Linked DNA regions of Diceros bicornis minor. The protein of the gene in region 1 interacts with the protein of each later gene in a pairwise test. Links are inferred from orthologs where the notes say so. Each region holds a gene or a part of one and is shown on either strand. Other genes may lie near its edges. The genes, in order: ARL15 and UNC119.

What was found.
Region 2: the proteins of ARL15 (region 1) and UNC119 interact in binary tests that used the Homo sapiens proteins (3 or more experiments, as listed by UniProt). The link is inferred for Diceros bicornis minor from reciprocal best matches to the Homo sapiens genes ARL15 and UNC119.

Annotation. Positions count from the first base shown.
Region 1 is NC_080759.1:21,388,452-21,398,851, forward strand, and holds the start of ARL15 (ADP-ribosylation factor-like protein 15), read left to right. Parts: upstream 1-5,630; 5' UTR 5,631-5,699; coding exon 5,700-5,747; intron 5,748-10,225; exon of another isoform or gene 10,226-10,400.
Region 2 is NC_080757.1:18,943,120-18,953,869, reverse strand, and holds the start of UNC119 (protein unc-119 homolog A), read right to left. Parts: upstream 4,051-10,750; 5' UTR 3,982-4,050; coding exon 3,756-3,981; intron 219-3,755; coding exon 105-218; intron 1-104. Other genes in the region: PIGS (GPI transamidase component PIG-S), read right to left, coding at 5,993-6,268, 6,619-6,829, 7,620-7,720, 8,284-8,429, 9,871-9,985, 10,710-10,750. UniProt on the Homo sapiens protein: Involved in synaptic functions in photoreceptor cells, the signal transduction in immune cells as a Src family kinase activator, endosome recycling, the uptake of bacteria and endocytosis, protein trafficking in sensory neurons and as lipid-binding chaperone with specificity for a diverse subset of myristoylated proteins.

The DNA.
Region 1 (10,400 bases):
ATGGATGAATGGATAAACCAAGTATGGTATATCCATGCAATGGACTACTATTTAGCCATAGAAAGGAATGTACATGCTACAACATGGATGAATCTCGAAAACATGCAAAGTGCAAGAAGCCAGTTAAAAAAGGCCACATATTTTATGATTCCATTTGTATGAAAGTCCAGAATAGAGAAGTCTGTAGAGACAGAAATTAGTATTTTCCCAGGGGTGAGGGTAGGGGTGGAGGGTGATAGCTAAAAGGTTCAGGGTTTCTTTTAGAGGTGATGAAAATGTTCTAAAGTTGTAGATTTTAGATAGTTGCACAAATCTGTAAATATGCCAAAACCCATTCTATCGTATATTTATTATTTTTTTGTGTGAGATCAGCCCTGAGCTAACATCTGCCAATCCTCCTTTTTTTTTTTTTTTTTACTGAGGAATACTGGCCCTGGGCTAACATCCGTGCCCATCTTCCTCCACTTTATATGGGACACCACCACAGCATGGCTTGCCAAGCAGTGTGTCGGTGCACGCCCGGGATCCAAACCGGCGAACCCCGGGCCGCTGCAGTGGAGCGCACGCACTTAACCGCTGGCGCCACCGGGCCAGCCCCTGAATCGTATATTTTATATGGGTGAATTGTATGGTATGGGAATTATATCTCAATAAGGTTATTTTTTTAAAAGGTGTAAGTAAAGGAAGAAAAATGTACTCAAATGCCAGATGAGAAGTGAACTGTGCAAATAGAACTGGAAAGGACCCTGGGGCTGCATCACAAAGTTTTAATTAATCAAATCAAATTTAATCTGAAGCTGGGAGTTGATCCCCACTTTTCTGATTCCTTAGGCATTAGTAAATTGTGCTTGTCCCTTTGGATTTCCATGGAAGTATTTGCTTTTTCCGCACAAGATCAGTGTGTTAGGTTGAATAATGGCCCCAAAGATATCAGGTCCTAATTCCTGGAACCTGTGAATGTTACCTTAAATGGCAAAACTGACTTTGCAGATGTGATAAATTAAGGATTTTGAGATAGGGAAATTATCCTGGATTATCTGGGTAGGCCCTAAATGCAATCACAATTGTCCTTAGAAGAGGGAGGTAGGAGACTAGATTACAGAAGAGGGGAAGGCAGTGTGACCACAGAGGCAGAGACTGGAGTGATGTGGCCACAAGCCAAGGAATGCAGACAGCCACCAGAAACTGTAAAACACAAGGAATTCTCCCTTGGGACCTCCAGAAGGAAGCAGCCTTGCCAACACCTTGATGTTAGCCCCATAAGATTCAGGACTTCTAGCTTGCAGAACTTTAATAAATTTGTGTTAAGTCATTAAGTTTGTGGTAATTTGTTACAGTGGCAATAGAAAACTAATACAATCAGTGATGCAGTACTGCATCTAAGAGATTAAATGATGCTGGGGAGGTATTAAGAGGGATTTACATAGCTTCTTGATATTTGGTGCTTGAATAGCAGTTGCCTGTGATGTCTAGTTACCTCTTTCTGGTATAATTATTTACCATGTTAAGTGGTGATTCTTCATTTTAAATGCCTTATCTTGCTTTAATATTCTAAGACCCAGCAAATCCTTTTTGGAAGAGGTGAGTTATCTTCTTAGGGTTAAGTCCTTGCTCCTGCAACCTCATTCTGACCTCTTCCATTTATGAATCAAGTTCTGCTGGCAGCTTCATGTAGGGGCATCCCGCTCTGGTGAGGTTCATCTTCTAGGACATAGTGGTACTTTGTTTAGGTTTAGGAAGCAGGGAAGGGGACTGGGGGTAAATCAGAGATGGGGTGTGTGTTTGTGTGAAGGCAACCATCTGGAAAAAAAAAAGAGGGCAGGGCTCAGAAGAGAGTTTTAAGGTCACATGAGTTATTGGAGACAGTAAGTGAGCAAACCAAGTGTGCCTGATGACCTGCGTAGAACTCAGTGTCAGGACATCTCCACTTTTTCTGAAAAAGGAGTATCCGTGGTTTGAGTTACTCTAATGAAAGATACCATCTCTCAGCTATTAAGGAATAGTATACTCTATCAAGGCAAGAATGAGGCAAGATAAGCACTCCCTACTTTGGAGTTGGGGTCAGGGGGATGAGACTATAAGCCAGTACAAAAATGAGTATTATACCAGGGCCACCCCGTGGCGTAGTGGTTAAGTGCGCGCGCTCTGCTGCTGGTGGCCGGGCTTCGGATCCCAGGCGCCCACCGATGTACTGCTCGCCAGGCCATGCTGTGGCGGCCTCCCATATAAAGCGGAGGAAGATGGGCACGGATGTTAGCCCAGGGCCAGTCTTCCTCAGCAAAAAAAGAGGAGGATTCGCATGGATGTTAGCTCAGGGCTGATCTTCCTCACACACACAAAAAAGTACTTATACCCTTTGTACTAGTAACTTCATTTCTAGACATTAGGATAATGAGATGTGAACAATTTTATAAGCAAACATTCACTGCAATATTTATAATAGTAGTATCTAATAGATTTGTGAACATAGTACATTTATACAATAGAGCTTTGCATAGCCATTAAACATTTATGAAGAATTTTATGATGAACTTTATATATTGACTGCGCATGATACAAGACTAGTAAAGACAGTATTCTTTAGTTATTATGTATCAAATGAACAACAAAAAGGGAATAGAGGGAAAGAGCCACTAAATGTTGCTTTTTCTGGATTTTAGAATCTGGGAGACCAGGTTGCAAAAACACATTTCTGTTTTTGTTTCCTACAAGCAACACATTAACCAAAAATTTTTCCTCCAAATCTGGCTAGCCAGCAGTCTTCATGGAATTGTAGACTATGGACTGTCAAAAGAATTTCTCCTTACTTTTGACAAGCAACAGTGATGGCCTTTCCTCAAAACCTGTGTAGTAATGCAATAGCCTCATGAGTTTATCCATGTTTTCTTATGCATCCGGAAGAGGGTCATTCTTTTTATTGAGAGCAAAGGCAGGGCTACATTAATGAGATCATGTCTTATTCAAGACTGCAGTTTGTTACTTGGCATATAGTGGGATAAGTTGAATGTATGCCTTCTAAGCTCTCAACACTCTATTTTTAACATGAATTAGGGTGATTACTACTGTTACTACCACCCCTATCAGCTAAGACCGCAGCTTCATGTAGTGGGTAGTGTATTATCTATTTATACCAACATAATCTAGTTGGCCTCTTTCTTCTGCACAAGAGTAGACACATTAACATCCCAGAAGATTAACACCTAATTAGAAAAATGTGCTCCATATGGAGTTCTGAAGCTTCAGGGTTTCTTTTACAAGGACTCTTCCAAAAGGCAATATATGATTCTTTTAATACATTACACGGAACACAAGGTTTTTTTTTGGTGCCAGTTGAAACAAATGTGCAAATGGTGTGGAATAGGGTGAGAGTACAATGGTGCAGCCTTTGGAACTTTTCCTTGAACACATTCGTTCATCACCCTGCTTTGGGCTCATTTACTAATTCCTAGAGGTAGCATGAAGCATGTTGTGGTTTTAATGACCTTCTGTTCAGGACTTTCTCTAAGGTTAGCTTTTAAAGTAAAGGCAGAAGCCGACTGCTCCTGAGTGACTATCTTCCCCTGCAGAGAAACTGACAGGCTTCTCAAGAGTCTGACTTGGCGGTAGTCAAGACATCATTTATCACTAAGAAAATGGACCAAAAGGTGTCTCTTTACTAACTCAAGCTCTTTATCTATTTGCAATATGCTTCCTCTTGGAAAGAAGAAAACAAACAAACCCGAAAGGTTCCTTGTCTATTTGAATTATTTTTGCTAGCAAGTTAGAGAGGCCTTCAACTTCTGCAATTAGTTTCAACCAATTGTGCTGTAGGTTTACGGAAATTCATCACCTTCAGAATCCAGGTCAAAATGTGTTCTAAACCTACATGTGTTTGATTTAATAGAATGCCAAGAACAGTCAAAATTGGATCCAACGGCTTAATGCCATTGAGTTGAGTTAGCTCCTGCATAGGCAAAAACTCACTGAAAGTTCTTCAGGAGTAGAATTTCTTATTTATACACACACACACCCTTGTCTGTAAATTGGATCAAGAGAGTCAAGCTCTGTACTAAGTGTGCCTATTTACAGTCTTTTAGTTTTTTCAAAAAACCCTATGGCCATAAGAATTCCCATTTTTCAGCTGGGAGATGAGATACCTTACCCAAAATCACATGGCTCACCAACCTGGAGTTCTCTCTAAAGGGCTGCACTCTCTGAGTTACCTGCATGTTTAGGATGAATTCTATTGTCATCTAATAGAACTGTTTGGGCAGCCCCAGGCAAACTTGTATGGAAATTCATTCCTGAGGATACAAAAAACAAAGGTGCCAAATTAGGGGGAAAATAAAAATCCAACCCCTAAAACAGAGTCAGGCAGTCACTTCAGAAAGATTTCAATTGAAGTTTTACTCTTGATATATTATTGTAAGGAAGCTCTAATTATTGATACAAGCGAGCGCAATCCCCTCGCCCTCCTTAACCTCTGGTGGGGAAACACTGCAGTCACCTGAGCCTGATAAGATGTCTGGCATTGTGTAGCCTGAATCTTCAAAAGATAAAGCCTTTAGTGTTCTTATCTTGTGTTCTTAGTGTTCTTATTCTTGTCTGACTCAGCTCCCCCTCCCCCAGCTTAATACAATAGTGAGATCCAATGACAATTTCCAAGTTTTTTAACCAGGAAATGTATAAGACTCAAGTGCACCTGCTTACAGATACTTTTACGTCTTAAAATGACATCGGGTCACAAACACTGTATTAATTGGGTCTTTCCAGAGAGTTTCTTCTATTGCTCATTTTCCTCACGGGCAATGGATTTGTGCTCACTGTAACTGGACTCAAAGCATGCAGACAACTGATCACCTTCTTCTTCCCCAGTGTTTGAGGTCTACAATCGACTTATATCGAGTCCCCAAACTTTTCGTCTTTTCCTTTCACGTGGTGGAGAGTGAATTCTCCGGGAACAATTCGGCATAAAGAGGCAGCCTCCTGGGTTACCTCTGACCGCGTCCGGGGCTTCACTGTACCCCCAGGGACATCAGGCTGGAGCTGTCTGCCTTCGCAGTTTCTCATCTGAAGGTGGGGAGGGACCCCCCCCCCAGGACCACCTCCCATCCCCGAGTCACCGGCTTGCCTGTTCAGATTACCCTCCGATACACTTCAAGCCTGCCCGATGTGCAGTCTCCAGGCCGCAGAGCCTTCAGGAAATCGCTCGGGAGAGAGGCATTAAGTGTCGGCGGCTACCACGCCTCCCACGTTTCAGCGCTAGCTTCCTACTGCGGGGGCGGTGGGAGGGAACACCAAGGCTCTCCAGCACTAGGGCAGAGTTCTGCTCGGCTGTACCCAGCTAGGAGGCTACAGAACTCAGGCAGCTGCAGCACCAGCCGATTTTCCGCTTTTGCCCGCTGGTTCTTCCGCCTGCACCGCCCTCGCCCCCGCCCCTCCGCCCTGTCCACAGGAACCAGCGCCCTGGCCGCTCCCGCGCTTCTCTGGTGCCACCCGCGGCGGCCTGCCTTTTATAGTCACCGCAGCCAATGAGCGCTCTCCTTTCCTTCTGCCCGCCCGCCCGGCCAATCGCCGCGCCCCTTGTGTAATCTTCGGCTCCTCGGCTGCTCTCGGCTATTTTCGTTGTTGCTGGCTTTTTCAGGGGCTGCTCGCTCGCAGCCAGAGACGCTGCTTTTTTTTCCGGGTTCGGAGCCGTTCCGGATGCTTTAGGCTGCCGGATGTCTGATCTCCGGATAACTGAGGCGTTTCTGTACATGGATTATCTGGTAGGTGCGGGGCAGGGGTGGCGTGTCGCCTCTCGGACCCCGACGTGCCCGATATCCCTCTGCCTGGAGGAGCAGCCTTTTTGCTTTCTTTCTTTGGGATGGGATGCCTTTGGGGTTCTTTCTCCCGCAGCCGCCTCTAGAGCTGTGCCGGGACCCGCACGGGCGGCCGCCTGGACCGCGGGGCCGCAGCGCGGAGGGCTGGTGGGGCTGACAGGTAAAGGTGCGGCCCGGGCCAGCCGCGCTGCGGGGCGAGGGGCGCGGGGGGCTGCCCGAGAGATGGGGCCGCGGCGGCGGCGGCGGCGGCGGGGCGTCCCCTGCCCGCGGTCGGGTTCTCGCCTTCCCTCTGCGCTCTGCACAGGACTTTCTTTCCGCGGAAGCAGGAGTTTTCCGCTCTTCCTTCAGCAGGACTCCAGGTACTATTAAAGAGCCATAACCAGAATGGCTCGCTAAGTGCCCGGCAGCCCCAGTCATTTGGTTGTTATTAGATCTCTAAAGCTATGACCTCAATCGCGGAGAGGGTTTAAAAGCACATTACCATAAAGTAGACGGGACTGAACTACATCGCAGTCTGGCCAGAACTGGTCCGGGAAGGGGCAGGCGTTGCCCACCGTTCCTGTCGTGGGTGCATGCCGCCTTTACCCTGTGCACGGATGGGATCCTAGCTGTGCTTTTAGGCCAGGCTTGTGCTGAGAAGTTTAGGTGGGAAAAGTGTCAGCACGGTGCTGGGACTGAGCATTATTTTAAAAACTGCCTAGTGTGTGTGTTCTTGTGGAATTATGCAAGCACCGTGAATTTGTTCCGGAAATTATATTTCCCCAGAGCTGCCTGTTTGTGTTCAGGGGCATCCTCACTAACATTGGCTATGTTCGATCCTATGCAATTACCAGGTTTACCTTGTTAGCCGGAACCGCTAGTGCAGTGCAGAGTTGAAGTAGATGGTTAAAAACGTTGATCCTCCTCTCATCTTGTTGGACACATGCAGTAGGTTTTCGACTGCAGATTGGCCTGGCAGAGATTTGCCAGTGCCTTCTAGGAATTCCACTTAAGGCTGTACTAAGAAAGACTGTAAATGCTTCCATGATCAAGAAATGCTGGACAAGGACTGGTTTTATAACGTTACCTGGTATTTGGGGTTATTTTAGTTGACCTGAAGGAGATGTTTCTCCTAAGGCTTCGTGGTTGATGATCTTGTGGGGAAGGGTGGTGATTGCAGTTAATATATGACCTTGTGGATGGAGCAGAGTCAAAATTTCTGAGTTCAAATTCTGTTTTGTTGTTCATTTGTTGATGTCAGTAACTTCTATTTTTGTGATGAAGGGACGTTATCCACCCACAACTAGAGCCGGTTAAAGGGGTTATCTGATTGTAAACGTTCTTTAAAATGCAGAGTGTTATGTAGGTTAAGAGAGTTGTCAAATGTTTTCTAAAGATTGTTTTCTAAATTAAATAACTGATTATAATTTGTAGCTTGTCTTATACAGTTCTATGGTTTTGTCTTGCAGTCTACCCAGATTAAAGCCAAAGTTTGTTGAGAATAATTACCAAGTAGGAAAGGGTGGCATTACCTATACTGCTGAGAGCTAATTTTGGATAATTAACTACCTAAAAAGGAAGTCAAGCGGTTCTGGTCATTTTATTATTATTTTTATTTACTGGGTGTGTTTTAAGTTGACAAATTGCATCACAGACTTGTCTTTGAGGTGCCAAACCCACCAAAGCATTTAGTGAAAAAAAACTGAAAACTCTGGGGTAATTACTCAGGTTAATTTCCGGAGAGTCTAAGCATGGGTAGAGGAATGTTTGTGGGGATCTAGGTTACCTTAGAAGGAGATTAATTTCTTTGTCAATTTACTAGCAGTTTTGTGGCAAAATCAGTGGGCCTTGAATTTGACATGGCCTTTTTGTTTTACCTGCCACTCCCCCACAACCCAACTTTTGCACTTGTATTAAAAAATTCCTTGTTTTGTCACTTTAACTCTGCTTTTTAAAAAATTCACAAGTGCAGTGAAACAGTCCCATAAAAATCACTGGCTAATCATTGGATGTGAGAAAAAAATCTTAAAGGAAATGTCAGTTTTTATGAGTGTGCCAGGTATCCCCTGTGAAAGGATTTAAGAAAATCCTTAAACATTAAGTCCAGTTTTTACTGAAACTGGACTGAAAAAAAAGAAAAAAACAGCCCTCCTGTGGTGGTCTTTTGTTTACTTTTTGCTTATCCACTTTCAGAGAAAATGACATGCCACACATCATTCTTTTCTTCTTGCCTTTCAGATTGACTTGGTTGCTCATGCATAATTTTTACATGGTGTTTATTAAAAACCAATTTCTGAAAAATGAAAATTTCATTGACTGCATCTGGGGTCTTATTTTTAAAATAGATCAGTTCCCCAGTTCTTTTACTTACCTTCCAGAAAAAAATGCTCCTTTTGAGTTTGACTCTAGATTTTGCTGAGCTTGTGGACTAGAGGAAGCGTCCTGCCTGTGCACTGGACAGGAATCATGGTGTGTGCCATCTTTTCTTTTCTTCTTTTTTTCTTTTTAATCGGTGTTTGACTTTCTTGTTGTTGATGTTGGAAGCTGGAAGAGGGAGCTCTGTGTGTGTATGTATTGTCCATTGTTCTTTAGACTGGATGTTATCACTTAACCTTTTTTATTTGGAGGAGAGTGGAAAGGAAGAGAAATGAGAAAACCGTAGAGGTACTATTTTTAACAGCTTTTAATAGGATTGCGGATATTAAAACAGATGATGAATCTCTCTGATCTTAGAGGTTGCTGTTGATTTCTTAACTTAAAAGAAATGTTCTCAATTAAAGGTGACAATGTGGGGGCCAGGGATAGTACCTTAATATTTAAGACAGGATTTTTATTGATTTCAGTTCAGGGAAATAATGGTAATTTACTAATCCTAAATAATTGCATGTATCACCCAGTGCCTGACTTGGTTCCTGGCACATAGTAGGGCCCAGTATTATTTGTTGAATTGAGTTACTATGAGACAGAAGGGACAATTCTACTTTTCTTGCCAGCTTCTAAAGTGAGACAAGATAAAATCTGTTTTGATTAGGTGTTTTGTTCTGGGGAATGCAGAATGTATCCTTTACTCTTAAACTTTAAGATTATCAAGATATAATTTGTTTAGCCTGGCTGGCAATTTAAATATAAAAATCTTGGTTTTCCTGTTAAGGGAATCTGCCTAGGAGGCCACACACTTTTTTCCCATTGTCATAATCGGCATTAAAGGCCATGTTTACACCTGTCAGATCTATGGGTAAAGATTTTGCTGCTGTTTCAACAGGGAGTACCAGCATCTTTCTCTCTCTCTTCTGACGGGTAGAACCAGTAAGACAATGTGCAGAGCTTTTCGAATAAGGTGGGAGAAAATAGTCAAGTTATAATGAAAGAGAAAAACATATCTACCAGGTTTTCCTGGGAAGTTGGACAAGATTAACTTCTAGATTCCTTTTAGTTAAAATTTTTTTTGTCCTAACTCTTACATGTTGATTGGTCTGGATTTCACCTTTTCTCCCTTCTGCCGTCAAAGCAACAGCAATAAGATTTGTGATGCTTTGTGTAATGCCTATGGTGATTAAATGAGATAATAGAGGGAAGGTGATTTATACACAGCACACTGCTTTTCAGATATAAAATGCTAATGTATTGTGGTTACGATGCTGATATTATTCTTATACTTCCTGTGGAATGACTATTACTGCTCAGTGGTAAATATTGGCCTACCTTTTAAACTAGTCTCAGTATATGGAAAGAGTTGGAGTGGTAATCAGCCAGCAGGAAGTCACAAGACTCTCTTGAGGATTTTTTAATACCTATAAAAATAAAACCACATTCTGATATTTACATTAATCCATTCAGCAAACATTTATGGAACCTCTGCTTTGTGCCTGGCCTTGAATGTCATGGGGGATGAGCACCCAGCTAGGATCCCCTTGGCTGTAGGACCAGCAGGCAGGTGGCTCTACAGGGACCTGTGGCAGGACAGGTTGGATAAGGCACATGGGGGAGGAGGCAGCTTCTGATGTGCTCCTTGGCTTTCTGGTACTTTTATTTTATGTGTCTGTTTCTTTTTTTTTTTTGCTGAGGAATATTGGCCCTGAGCTAACATCTGTGCCAATCTTCCTCTTCTTTGTATGTGGGACACTGCCACAGTGTGGCTTGATGAGTGGTGTGCAGGTCCGTGCCCGGGATCCGAACCTGTGAACCCTGGGCTGCCAAGGTGGAGTGCACGAACTTAACCACTAAGCAACCGGGCCAGCCCCTATATGTTTCTTTATTTTTTTGTGAACTAAAATGCAAAGTTGGACTTGAAAATGTGGCAACTAAATATGCTTGGTGAGTCTTGGATGCTAATTGTCAATTAATGATCATTGCATTTGTATATGCTCTTTGCCATTTAATAAGGCTGGGGTTCTAGATTTCTTCTTTGTATAGATTGGTGAATCTGCCCAATTTCTTGGTCACAGGCTGTACCTGCAAGTATAAAAATTCGTGTGTCAGTGGGGAAGATCTGGGGAGAGAGGTAGATGGATCAGCACAAATCCATCACAATTTGCAGAATAAAAACCAGCTAAGCAAGCAAGCAACCAACCAACCAAGTACAAAAACTCACGATGTGCTACAAATAACACAGCCCATAGG
Region 2 (10,750 bases), on another chromosome or scaffold:
CCCCAGCTCTGCTCTGACTCCTCTGCAGCCTGAAGAGTCCCTGGGCAGCCCACTTCACAGTTCTTGCCCACCTCCCTCTGTCAGTGGCCACCCAGCCCACTCACCTGAGGCTGGAGGCTTCTTGATTTCAAAGAGGACAGTGCCTGAATCCATGTCCCGAATCTTGAACCTGACGAAGTCAATCTTGTAGATATTCTCCTCGGGGGAGCACAGGTAGTCTAGGGGAGACAGGTGGCTGAGCAAGGAAGAGGCCCACCCAGAAGCCCTTGCTGCCAGCTCAGCTTTTGTGGAACCCCAGAGTAGCTACCACTTTCTCTTATCCCTAAGGTCACTGCCTTCCAGAAAGAGAGAATTGAGCTCCTGTCTTGAGGGAGCTCCAACAGTGTGGGGGAGACATAGCTCTGCCATTGGGATCTAATGGGGGACAAACAGCTCCATCCCAGTGGCCTCTGGGGTCAGGGAGGGGGAGGGCAGAGAAGGAGGAGGACAAAGCCACCTCTCCCATATTTTCTCTGCCACCCCAGAGTTGAGGGCCCTTATTCCAGCCTCTGCTTTGCCAAGGCTGGCTCAGTGACTTTGAGCCAAATGAATCTCCAATCTGATGGGGAGCCCCCAACATGAGAGGGAAAATACAGTCCTGCCTTTGGGAACTTCATTCTAAAGGGGGTGACACAGCTCTCTGCCTCGGGAGAGACACAGTACTTCTCTGAAGAATACCCCACCCCCACCCCACAGCTGCCCCTGGTGCTATACCTAGGTGTTTCAGGCAAGGACTGTCTCTGACCTGGGTACTCTGGGGCAGGCAAACAATTTCTTCTCTGTTCCTCTGCACTCCCTCAGCCCCCTCCACTCCCCATAAGCAGCTTATACAAGCCCAGCTCCCTTAAGCAGCTTAGCCAAAGCTCTGCTGACTCAAGCCCAGAACCTGGAATATCGGGGGAGAGGGGGCCACCTTTGCTCCCATTCCCCGTTGATCTCCAAATGAGAGGAAGTTTAGTGAACAGAGGGAACCCTCTCAAAGGTCATCTACCCAGCCTTGGCTCTGAACCACCCCTCAAAGAGGAGTAGAGGCAAGGCCAGGAAGAGGGTGTGGCTGCTGCAACCGGGGGTGTACATGGGGGTAAAGGGAGTCCTCAGGCCCAGAAGAGGAACCAAGAATAGTGGCGGTACCGCCTGAGGAAGCTCAGGAATACCACGGCCTGATCCAACCTTCATGGCTCTTGCAGCAGCAACCGCAACTGCTCAGGGAGGCCCTGTCAACAAATCGGAAGGAGCAGAGAGGCACAGTGAGGGGCTCCAGTGCTGTCAGCCTGCGCAGCATCACATCCTCCCTTTAGAGGCCAGGAAGTCACCCTCTAGGCCCCTGGGCCACCTCCTATCCCCCTGGGGCAGGAAGAGGAAGTGAATGTAAAGTCATTCTCTCTTCCCCAAGCCTGGGACAGCCCCCTCCAGGAAGCCCTCCTGGTAGCCACCTGGCACATTGGGGTCCAGTTGGGACTACACAGGGCTTGGGGGAGGGGTCTGAGCCCCAGCCTGTCCACCACAGCCCACGGTGGGGAGAGGAGAGACGGAGGAATGGAAGCGGGCAGCCCCTACCTCACCTTCTACACAGAAAATAAGCACTAGTCCAAAGATGTAGAAAGCAGGTGCAGGGCATAGGGAGAGGAGGTAACAGAACTGGGAGCAGGATCCTAGTCACCCAACTCCCAGCTCTCAGTAAAGCCCTCCCTTCTTCCCCCATTCTCCAACTTTTGGAGTCTCTCCTTTCATCTATAAACAAGTTCTTGCAGTCTGACCTCAGTCTCTTCTCTTACAAACAACCTATCAACTCCTCTGACCTTAGAGGAAGTGAGGAAGGGGGGATGCCCATGGCTCAGGACATCACTGCCACTCCCTCCCTTCTGCCAGGAAAGGCTGAGACCTGGGACCCAGGGTCAGGCCAGAAAAGAGGCAGAGTAGCCGAGGGCTCAGAACACAACTGCTCCCTTCCCTCAGCCACAAATAGCTTCCTAAGCTGGATTTACGGCCCCGTAATCCAGGAGGAGCAAACCTCAGATCTGTGTGATTAAGGTCAGAAGAGACCAGGGGGTGCCAGGGTGGAGACAATGGAACCCTGTTCTCAACTTCTACAAGGGGAAAGGGATCCCGTGAAGCTCCTTCCCCTACTCATCCTCCACAGATGCCCCACCTCTAAGGGCTATGAATTTTCTCCAAATTAGGAGACACATGGTGGTACACGGGCTGGAAGCCCCCAAAGTTGCAAAATAATCTCTAAAGTTACCTAGGACCCAGGCAGGTCAGCCTGACCTCCAGACATCTTATAATGAAGTTCTGCCCCAGAGCTAACCTGAATGCTAAATAAATGCCACTGTTGCCAACCACAGCCCAACTGGCATCAACATCAGCCTGGTCCAGGCCCCCTCCCTCTACCAATGCCTGCTTGGGCAAGGCAGCTCAGTACTCTGGGGGCCCAGCCAAGAATGGCTGTTGCCTGGCTCAGAGAGGGAGAAGCTGGTCCCCTAGGGACCCAGATGCACAGGCCTAGACCTGCCATCATGGTCCCCTCCATGGCTCTGTCTGACGGTCCTGGGCTCTGTTGCTCCTGCAGCTCCAGAGCTCAAGTCCACTCCAGCACCTGCTCCCAACCCCAAACAGAGGCCCCAAGAGTTGCTCTCACAGAGGGAGCCAGGGCAGGGGTACTGATGAATGAGGCCAAGGTCCAGGGCCACTGCATCTCCAAAGCCTCCTGTTCTTTGAGGCTCAGCCACCGCCTCTGCCTTGAGGCTTCTTAGCCCTGTTCCCTGCCTATGGTGACCTCCCCACCACCCCTGCCCTGAATGCCTAGTTGTCTGCCTCTGGGCAGCAGCCACGAGCAGTCCTGCCGGGCCCTCAGTACTATTGATGAAAGAGCTCTATTTACAGAGCACGCACAGCATGCCAGGCACTGTGCAAAATCAGAGGATTTATTTTCACAATAGCCCTAAGGTAGGTGTCATTATCCCCATTTTACAGGTGAATACGCTCATAGAAGTAAAGTTACTTGCACAAGGTCACACACCCAATTACATGGCAAAGCTGGGACTCCAAACCACGCAGTCCAACTCAGAAACTCAACCACAGTGGAGACTATCCTTCCCAGAAGAGGACAGGCCCCAGTCCAGGCTAATGGGGGCATTAACCCACTCCCTTGAGAAGAGAGCCAACCCACTGAAGCTTTCTGCTCAGGTCCTTTCCTGGGGAGGGGGATGGCCTCAGGTTTCCTGGGGAACCCATGGTGAGTGCATTAATGGTCAGGGAGACCTGAGGGTCTTAATGCCACCTAAGGAACTCAGCCTCCACTTAGCCTCCAGGGTGGGGACTGAGGACAGACTGCACTCAGCCCCCCTCCTCATTACTGCAAAGAAAGCCCTCAAAGGGCTCTGAAGATTCCATAGGGAGGGAGTCACAGTTGCAGCTGCTGCCCACCTCCACCGTAGGAAAGCAGGATGGACTCCTCAAAAAGGAAGGAGTGGAGTGGAAATAAACCTCTAAAGGGAGATGAAGGGGGCACTGGGAGATCAGCGGAAACGGGAACATGGAGATCTCAGGCTTGGAAGCAGAAAGGTAGGGAGCACAGGCAAGGGGGACCTGGGTGGGGGAGGGGAGGCGGGGGGAGAGCGGGAAAGGGGGCGGGGGCCGGGGCTCCGCGCGCCTCGAGGGCCCCCTCCCGCGCTCTCCCACCCGCCCGCAGGCGGCGCTTCCTCGCCGGTGCTCACCGCCCGTGATCCGCTGCAGCCCCAGCACGTCCTCCGGCCCAATCGGCTGCTTCCTCTGCAGCGGCCCCGGCCTGGGCCCCGGGCCTGCCTCCGGCTCCGACTCGGACTCGGATTCGGATTCCGCCTGCGGCTGCGGCTCCAGCTTGGGCTCCACGCTCGGGCCCGAAGTCCCTGGGGCGGGCTCCGCCCCCGTGCCGGCCCCGCCACCGCCCTTCTTCACCTTCATGGCCTCACCGGGCCGCGGCTCGCCTCCTGCCGCCGCGGCTGCCTGAGCCGGCTGGAACCGGGGGAAGGGGGAGCGTCCGCAGCCCCACCCCCGGCCGGGGCCCCAGGTACCGCTCCGCCCCCGGGGTGGGTCCGGCACTGGCCCCGCCCACCCAGCGAAAGGCTGTGGGCGTCCTGACCTGGGCTATTCACCCAGGCCAGGGCGACCCTGGCCCTCATCCATTGTTTCCATGGCTACTTTACAGGGTCCTGGCTACCTCTGCTTACTCGCTGTTCTCCAGCAAGTTTGCCCTTCCCTCTGCCCCTCAAGGGACTTCCTGCCTCAGGGTCTTTGCCTGGGATGCTCTTCCCCCAGATGGCCTCTTCTTGTCCTTCTGGTCTCCGCTGAAATGCCTCTGCTCAAAGGTCATCCCTCATAACCAACCTAAAGTACTAACCCCCAGTCACTACCTGATCAACCTGTTTTTTCTTTCTAATGCATTATCTGAAATTAATTTTATTTGTCACTGACTCTTCCCCCTAAAAGATCAGTTGGGTGAGCGGGCCTGCCCTGTGGCCAAGCAGTTAAGTGCGTGCGCTCTGCTGCTGACAGCCCGGGGTTTGGATCCCAGGAGCGCAGGGATGCACCACTTGTCAGGCCATGCTGTGGGGGCGTCCCACATAAAGTTGAGGAAGATGGGCACAAATGTTAGCTCAGGGCCAGTCTTCCTCAGCAAAAAGAGGAGGACTGGCATGGATGTTAGCTCAGGGGTGATCTTCCTCAAAAAAAAATAAAAATCAGTTGAGTGAAAGCAGAGATCCTGTCTTTGTTCTAATACCCCAGCACCAAGCACTGTGCCTGTTGCAGCCCGTGCTCAATATATTTTCTTTTTTTGAACTGATGAATGAGTTAGCATCTGAGGGCTTACACTGGTACAAGCTATTCTCTCCCAAGACCCCCTGCTAAAAAGCAGAAATAGATGCTGTCTTGTTGGGCAACTGAGGACATGCTGAGAAACAACAGCCTAGCCACCACAGGGCCCTCCAGAACAGGGACGCAGGAAGGGCACATAGCCACATGGAAGCAAGGTGGACCTGTGAGCCCAGAAGGACAGACACTAAGAAACTGTTACTTACACATAAATGAAGGAACAATGAAAGGTATGCTCATACTTCATATCATCCCAATTCACATTCAGTCAATGTTTATTGAGACCCGAGAATATGACCGACACTTCACATGCTTATCACATTTAATCCTCACAACCACCTTGTAAGGGAAGTATCATTAGCGCTATTTTAACAGATGAAAAACTGAGGCTCAGAGAGATTAAATGGCTTATTCAAAGCTCCTCAGATGGTAAGTGCAGAAGCAAGGGTTTGAATTCAGGCATGCTTGATCCCAAGTCCAGAACTTTCCCCATTGCACCACACTGCCTCTAGGAAAGGGTGAAGGGAACTTCTGCACACACACAGCACCAGGTCCTGAGCTGCTGCCTTCTGGACTCCCCGTCAGGCTGTACCCAGCAAGTATAGACAGCCAGGAGGGAGGGGGGTAAGGGAGAAGACCCCCGAGGTGACCTGTGCCTGGCCCCTTCCACGAGAGCAGTGCTAGGGCTTCTCCCTCGAGAAGCGTGAGGGCAGGGGGCTGGAATCCAACCCAGGGCTTTCCCCTAAGGCTCTCTCCCAGTACAAGAGAACTGTGAGGAACAGAGCAGAAGCACAACAAGCTGCCCCTGCCCCAGAGGGAGACAGGCAAGGGCCTTCAACTTCAAGCCAGATAAGGAGACCCAGATGATGCACTTTTTGAGGACTGGGGGTGTGTGCATGGAGTAGGGGAGGACCTGAGCCACAGGAATGGGAAGGGAAGGAAAGATGAACCCATCTTGGAGTGTTGTACTCTAGTTGCTGGAAAGGCAACAGGGGCTGGAGACAAACAAATCATTCGTGACAGGCCCTGTTTATTTGCCTCTAAATCTAACACCTCCCACCCTGGCCAGAAAGGAAGCCTTTCTACTGAGATGCTGCCCTGCTCAGTCTGTCTTCTCAGGCTTTTTCCAGGACTTGCGGGTCTCCAGGAAGATCTTGACCAGGGATAGGAGGATAGGCACAGCCATAGGCAGGAAGAGCGGGATGTAGATAGCAAACTTCTGGTCATCAGGGAAATAGAGGAGGTGGAGGAGCGAGGGGTCAAAAAAGGCACGCTCCGAGGACGTCACAGCTTCCTGGGTGGCAACGAAGGCAGAGGCCAAGTGCCCAGAGGCCAGCTCCTCTGCTGCCTTCTGGACTGCAGCTACAGCCCTATACACCTAGGAAGGGGGCAGGGGGTTACCAATAAGTCCTAGGCATTGGTTGAGGGGGGGGATACTGGGCCTCAGTGTCTTCGGTCTACCAGACAGGTTGCCTGAAGTTCACCCAGGATATACAGAGGCCAGTATAAAAGGGCTATAGTGTATTTTCTTAGTGCCTGCTTAAAACCTCACAGCCCCATCTGGACTCTTGCTGCGGAGCTGGCAGTGCCCTCTAGAGGAAGCCTGGGGCACTCAAGGATGGCATGACACATACTCCGAACCTCAACTGGCTCTCTGGTTTCACCACACTCTGGCCCTCGATGACCACTCCAATTCTAGGCCACAGAATCCATCCCCCGCCTGCTTACCTCAGATGCCACATCGTCCTTGATGACAATGTTGTTGATCTTGCCCAGAAGCTGGGCCAGGGAAGTGAGAGTGGTGGTGGCTGTGGCCAAGTTCTCCACTGACCGAGCCCAGAGCAGCCGGTCTAGCTCCCAGGTCATTAGCCCTTCACTCTTAGGCCCTGAAAACAGGCATTTTGGAGGCACCTGGGGCTGAGCAATCCCAAAGAGCAGCCTGTAGGAACAGTGAAGTGAGGTCAAAGGGGCTGAGAATAACTAGAAGGTGAGAGATGGTTAAGATTCCTAGAATAACTACTAAGATTTTCAATCTTACCCAGAACCACAGGAATTGTAGGGAAGTACCTCAGGGTCTTGGGGGGTGAGTGGCAACACTAAGCAATCCTGAGCTCCAAGTCCCACTTTAACCAGTGTTTTCTCTTTTACCTGTTTCTATATTGGACTTCCAAGATCTTGTTTGAAGAAAGGTTCCATGGTTAAAATATTTCTGATAAGCCAACTTAGTTTAATCTCCTCACTCTGTCTACCCTCTCTTTGGTCAAATGGGGCCACTGAGCCTTGTTATGGGATGATCCAGGACCACCTCTGACAAGGCACGCATTCTGTGCCTCTCTAATCCCTGCACCCAGGGCAGACATTGCTAATCAATCAGAATCCTCTTTCCAGATGAGCCCAGACACAGCCTTAGAATCCTCAACATAGGGCTTCAGGCAGCCACTATCAATAGAGCAGTTAGCCCAAGAATTACTAGCTGTTTTCTTAGGTACCCCTAATCACACCCCATGGACCTGACATTCATGAGTCTATTTTTCTTAAAACAGTTTTTGTCAGCAACTAGTCCTTCTTAGGAGACAGATGAAGCAATCTTTGGAAACCTTTCTTGGTTTCCCTGGGGCTCTAGGCACAGCCAAGGAATCCCTGCCAGGTGAGATTTCATTCCAGTCAACCCAGGAGACTGTGGTCAGACTCAGTGGCCATGCCCCCAAGCGGATCACCCAGGACCTCACCGCAGCTGAGCCAGGAACACCTCCATCACTCGCACCATGTCCACCTCCACTCTCACCGGCAGTTCCGAGGCACTGTAGGCGTTGGGGTCCACATTGTATACCTGCAAGGGGAAAGGAGGTTGCCACGTCACACCAGGACCATGCACAGCACTGCCCTGGACACTCTGGAGCCCATGAGAGAAAAGGAAGACACATTCTGTGCTCTTTAGAAATTACAAACTTGATGGTATAACTATTATTTTTTGAATACCTGCTGTTAGGAGCTTTATATAAATTTATCTCCATTACCCCCTCAAAAGTCCTATAATAGAGTTATTTTTTATTCCATTTTAGAGTTACTACCCATGAGAAACTCCCAGTCTAACAGGGAGACAAAGTTTCCAACGTTGCAAGACTCCCACAGATAGGGCCAAGATCTAAGATATATGCAGAATAGTCCTGAGTAACTGCAAACTGCAAGTGAGAAAGGGTCATATCATAGAAAATATTGACAGAAATAAGCAGCATGTGGGCTGGCAGAAGAGGCACACGAGCTCACAGCACCCTCACCTCCCACAGGCTGGGCCACGGAGGACACCAGAGGAACAAGAGAAGGAAGAGTCTCAGGGGACATCTGTCTGTCCCTGAAGCTTGGGCTCTGGGGTCTGCACAATGTGACCATTACCATAATGCCACCCCAGCGGGGACTGTGGAAGGCGTTGGTGGCCACTGGAGCCCCGTCCTTGTCCTGAATGTACAGGGGGGAGTGGGCAAGCTCAGGTACATAGAGTAGGAAGTTGAGCACAGGGTAAAGAGAGGCAGCGCTGGATCCTGTGGTACAAAGAGAAGGGGAGTCAGATACTGAAACATGCTGGATCAAGATCTTAGTTCCAAAAAAAAAAAAAAAAGATCTTAGTTCCAGGTCATCCTCTAACTTGCTGGTCACTCACTCTGGGCCTCATTTCCTCACTAATCACTAGGATATCCTCAGTCCTGGGTTTCTGTGATAAAGTACCTCTGAACATTCTCCCAAGATGTGCCACATAGATGAAGTGCAGTCCTCAGTCCGGGAACCTCCCCTCTTCTTAAGAGGCCCCCCCCTTGCCTGTCTGAGACAGGTCTCTTGGCCACTGCCTCATGGCAACCATATTACTATAACTCATTTTATGCAAAGTATAAATCTGACCTTATGTCAGTTCCCTGCTAATATCCTTCAATGGCTAGCCATTCATACCAGGTTAGTGTTCAAACTCCTTAACATGGCCCTTTATGATCTGGTGCCTGCCGGCTTTACCTTGGTCACTTTCTCACCATTCAGCCACACTAAACTTAAGAGCTTCCTGAATGTCTCTGCACTCTTACATCTAAGCTTATAGTTCCCTTGCCTGAAATGCCCTTCTATCTCTACTCAGCACTGCCAGAAAGCAGTCCCTCAACCAATATCTGCTGAATCAATGAATGAAGGAGGAATTTGCCAAGGCCTCACATGCCGCCCCTCCCAGACCCCTTGGTCCACACTGGCCTAGCCCTGATGCCTGAAATTCCACAACTAGTGATATACTCACTTTGATTTGCCTGTATTACAGTTCTTAGTCACACTCACTGTTCCTCGGTACCACTCCAAAAATGATAAACCGGAATCCTAGCTTCGATATTCCTCAACCTCACTCAGCAGAACTGTCAATTTGAATTCTGCCTTCATGTTCTTTTGCTGTTGTCCTTCCTACATGAGTGACCATACCTTTCCTGGATGGCTTGCAGGGAGGGAGACACAGCCTAACCATTTGTTTATAAAAAGAGCTGGCAATCACATTTTTTTTTTTTTTGGTCTTTTTTTTTTTTTTTTTAAAGTTTATTTATTTATTTATCCCCCCAAAGCCCCAGTAGATAGTTGTACGTCATAGTTGCACACCCTTCTAGTTGCTGTATGTAGGACTCGGCCTCAGCATGGCTGGAGAAGTGGTGCGTCTGTGCGCGCCTGGGATCCGAACCCAGGCCACCAGCATCAGAGCGCGTGCACTTAACCGCTAAGCCATGGGGCCGGCCCGGCAATCACATTTAATAAATGCTTTTGGATATGAAGGTGTGGAGATGGAGATGTCATCAACAGGGTATCATGAAAAGGGAGCCTAAATGCCCAGCACTTCCTTAACACCCTCAGACCAAGCCAACCTGGGAACCATCACTATATACAATCTGCCCCCAAACCCACGCTGAGCCTTCAGGGTCCCTCCCCAGCTTGGCAGAAAGACCCTCATCCTCAGGAGCTCACCCAGCCGGGACTCCACTGGGTTGATGACGTGGGGGAGGCTGTGCGCAGCCAAGTAGTAGCTGGAGGAAGCTGGGTCAAAGCGAGGGTTCACCCCCAACACTGCATAGTAAAGGATCTGTAGAGCAGAGCGAGAACGTTATTTTGTTTATTGATTTATATTCCACTTTGTCCCAAAGAAGATTTGAGGTACCTTGAAAAGATACAATTAGGACAGGGCAAAACATAAGAGGCAAAATTAGAGCTAAGAGAAAACAGATGTAGGAAAAATATAACAAAGCCAAGAGTAAAGTCAGTACACTAAATACAAGCTTTGAAAACCACATATTTTACCAGGTTTTCTAACAGCCTAAACAAAGAGAGAAACAAAGAGTATAATTCAGTGTCCACAAGATCAAATCAAGTCAGTTATTCAGAAGTAATTACTCCCACTATCAAGACCTGATAAAAATTTCTCCCATGTTTTCCCTAAAAGGACATTGTGTAATATAGAAAGCTACATTCTTTACATCTTTACTGTCACTTCATTAACATATTTCAGGAAGTTTTGTGTTTTATTTTTTTTAAATAAATTTCTTAAGGATGGCACAACTGGTGAATACAGTTCTGGGGGGAGCCATAAGGAAGTTAGTTTTAAACAGCATTGACAAAACTCCCCAAGTCAAACACCAAGGAGGGAAAATAGACACCAGAATCATATACATACACAGGAAATTCCTAGCAAATCAGCAAGCTCTAAGAGCTGGAAGAACAGACTACATTTGTAAACACCAAATATGGATGGACTTTGAAAAGGATGGTGCAGCCAGGAAAAGGACTCCTCAACTTGCTCCCAGTCTCACCTGAGAGTCCACAGAGAAGTTGCCCACAGCACTGAGGGCAT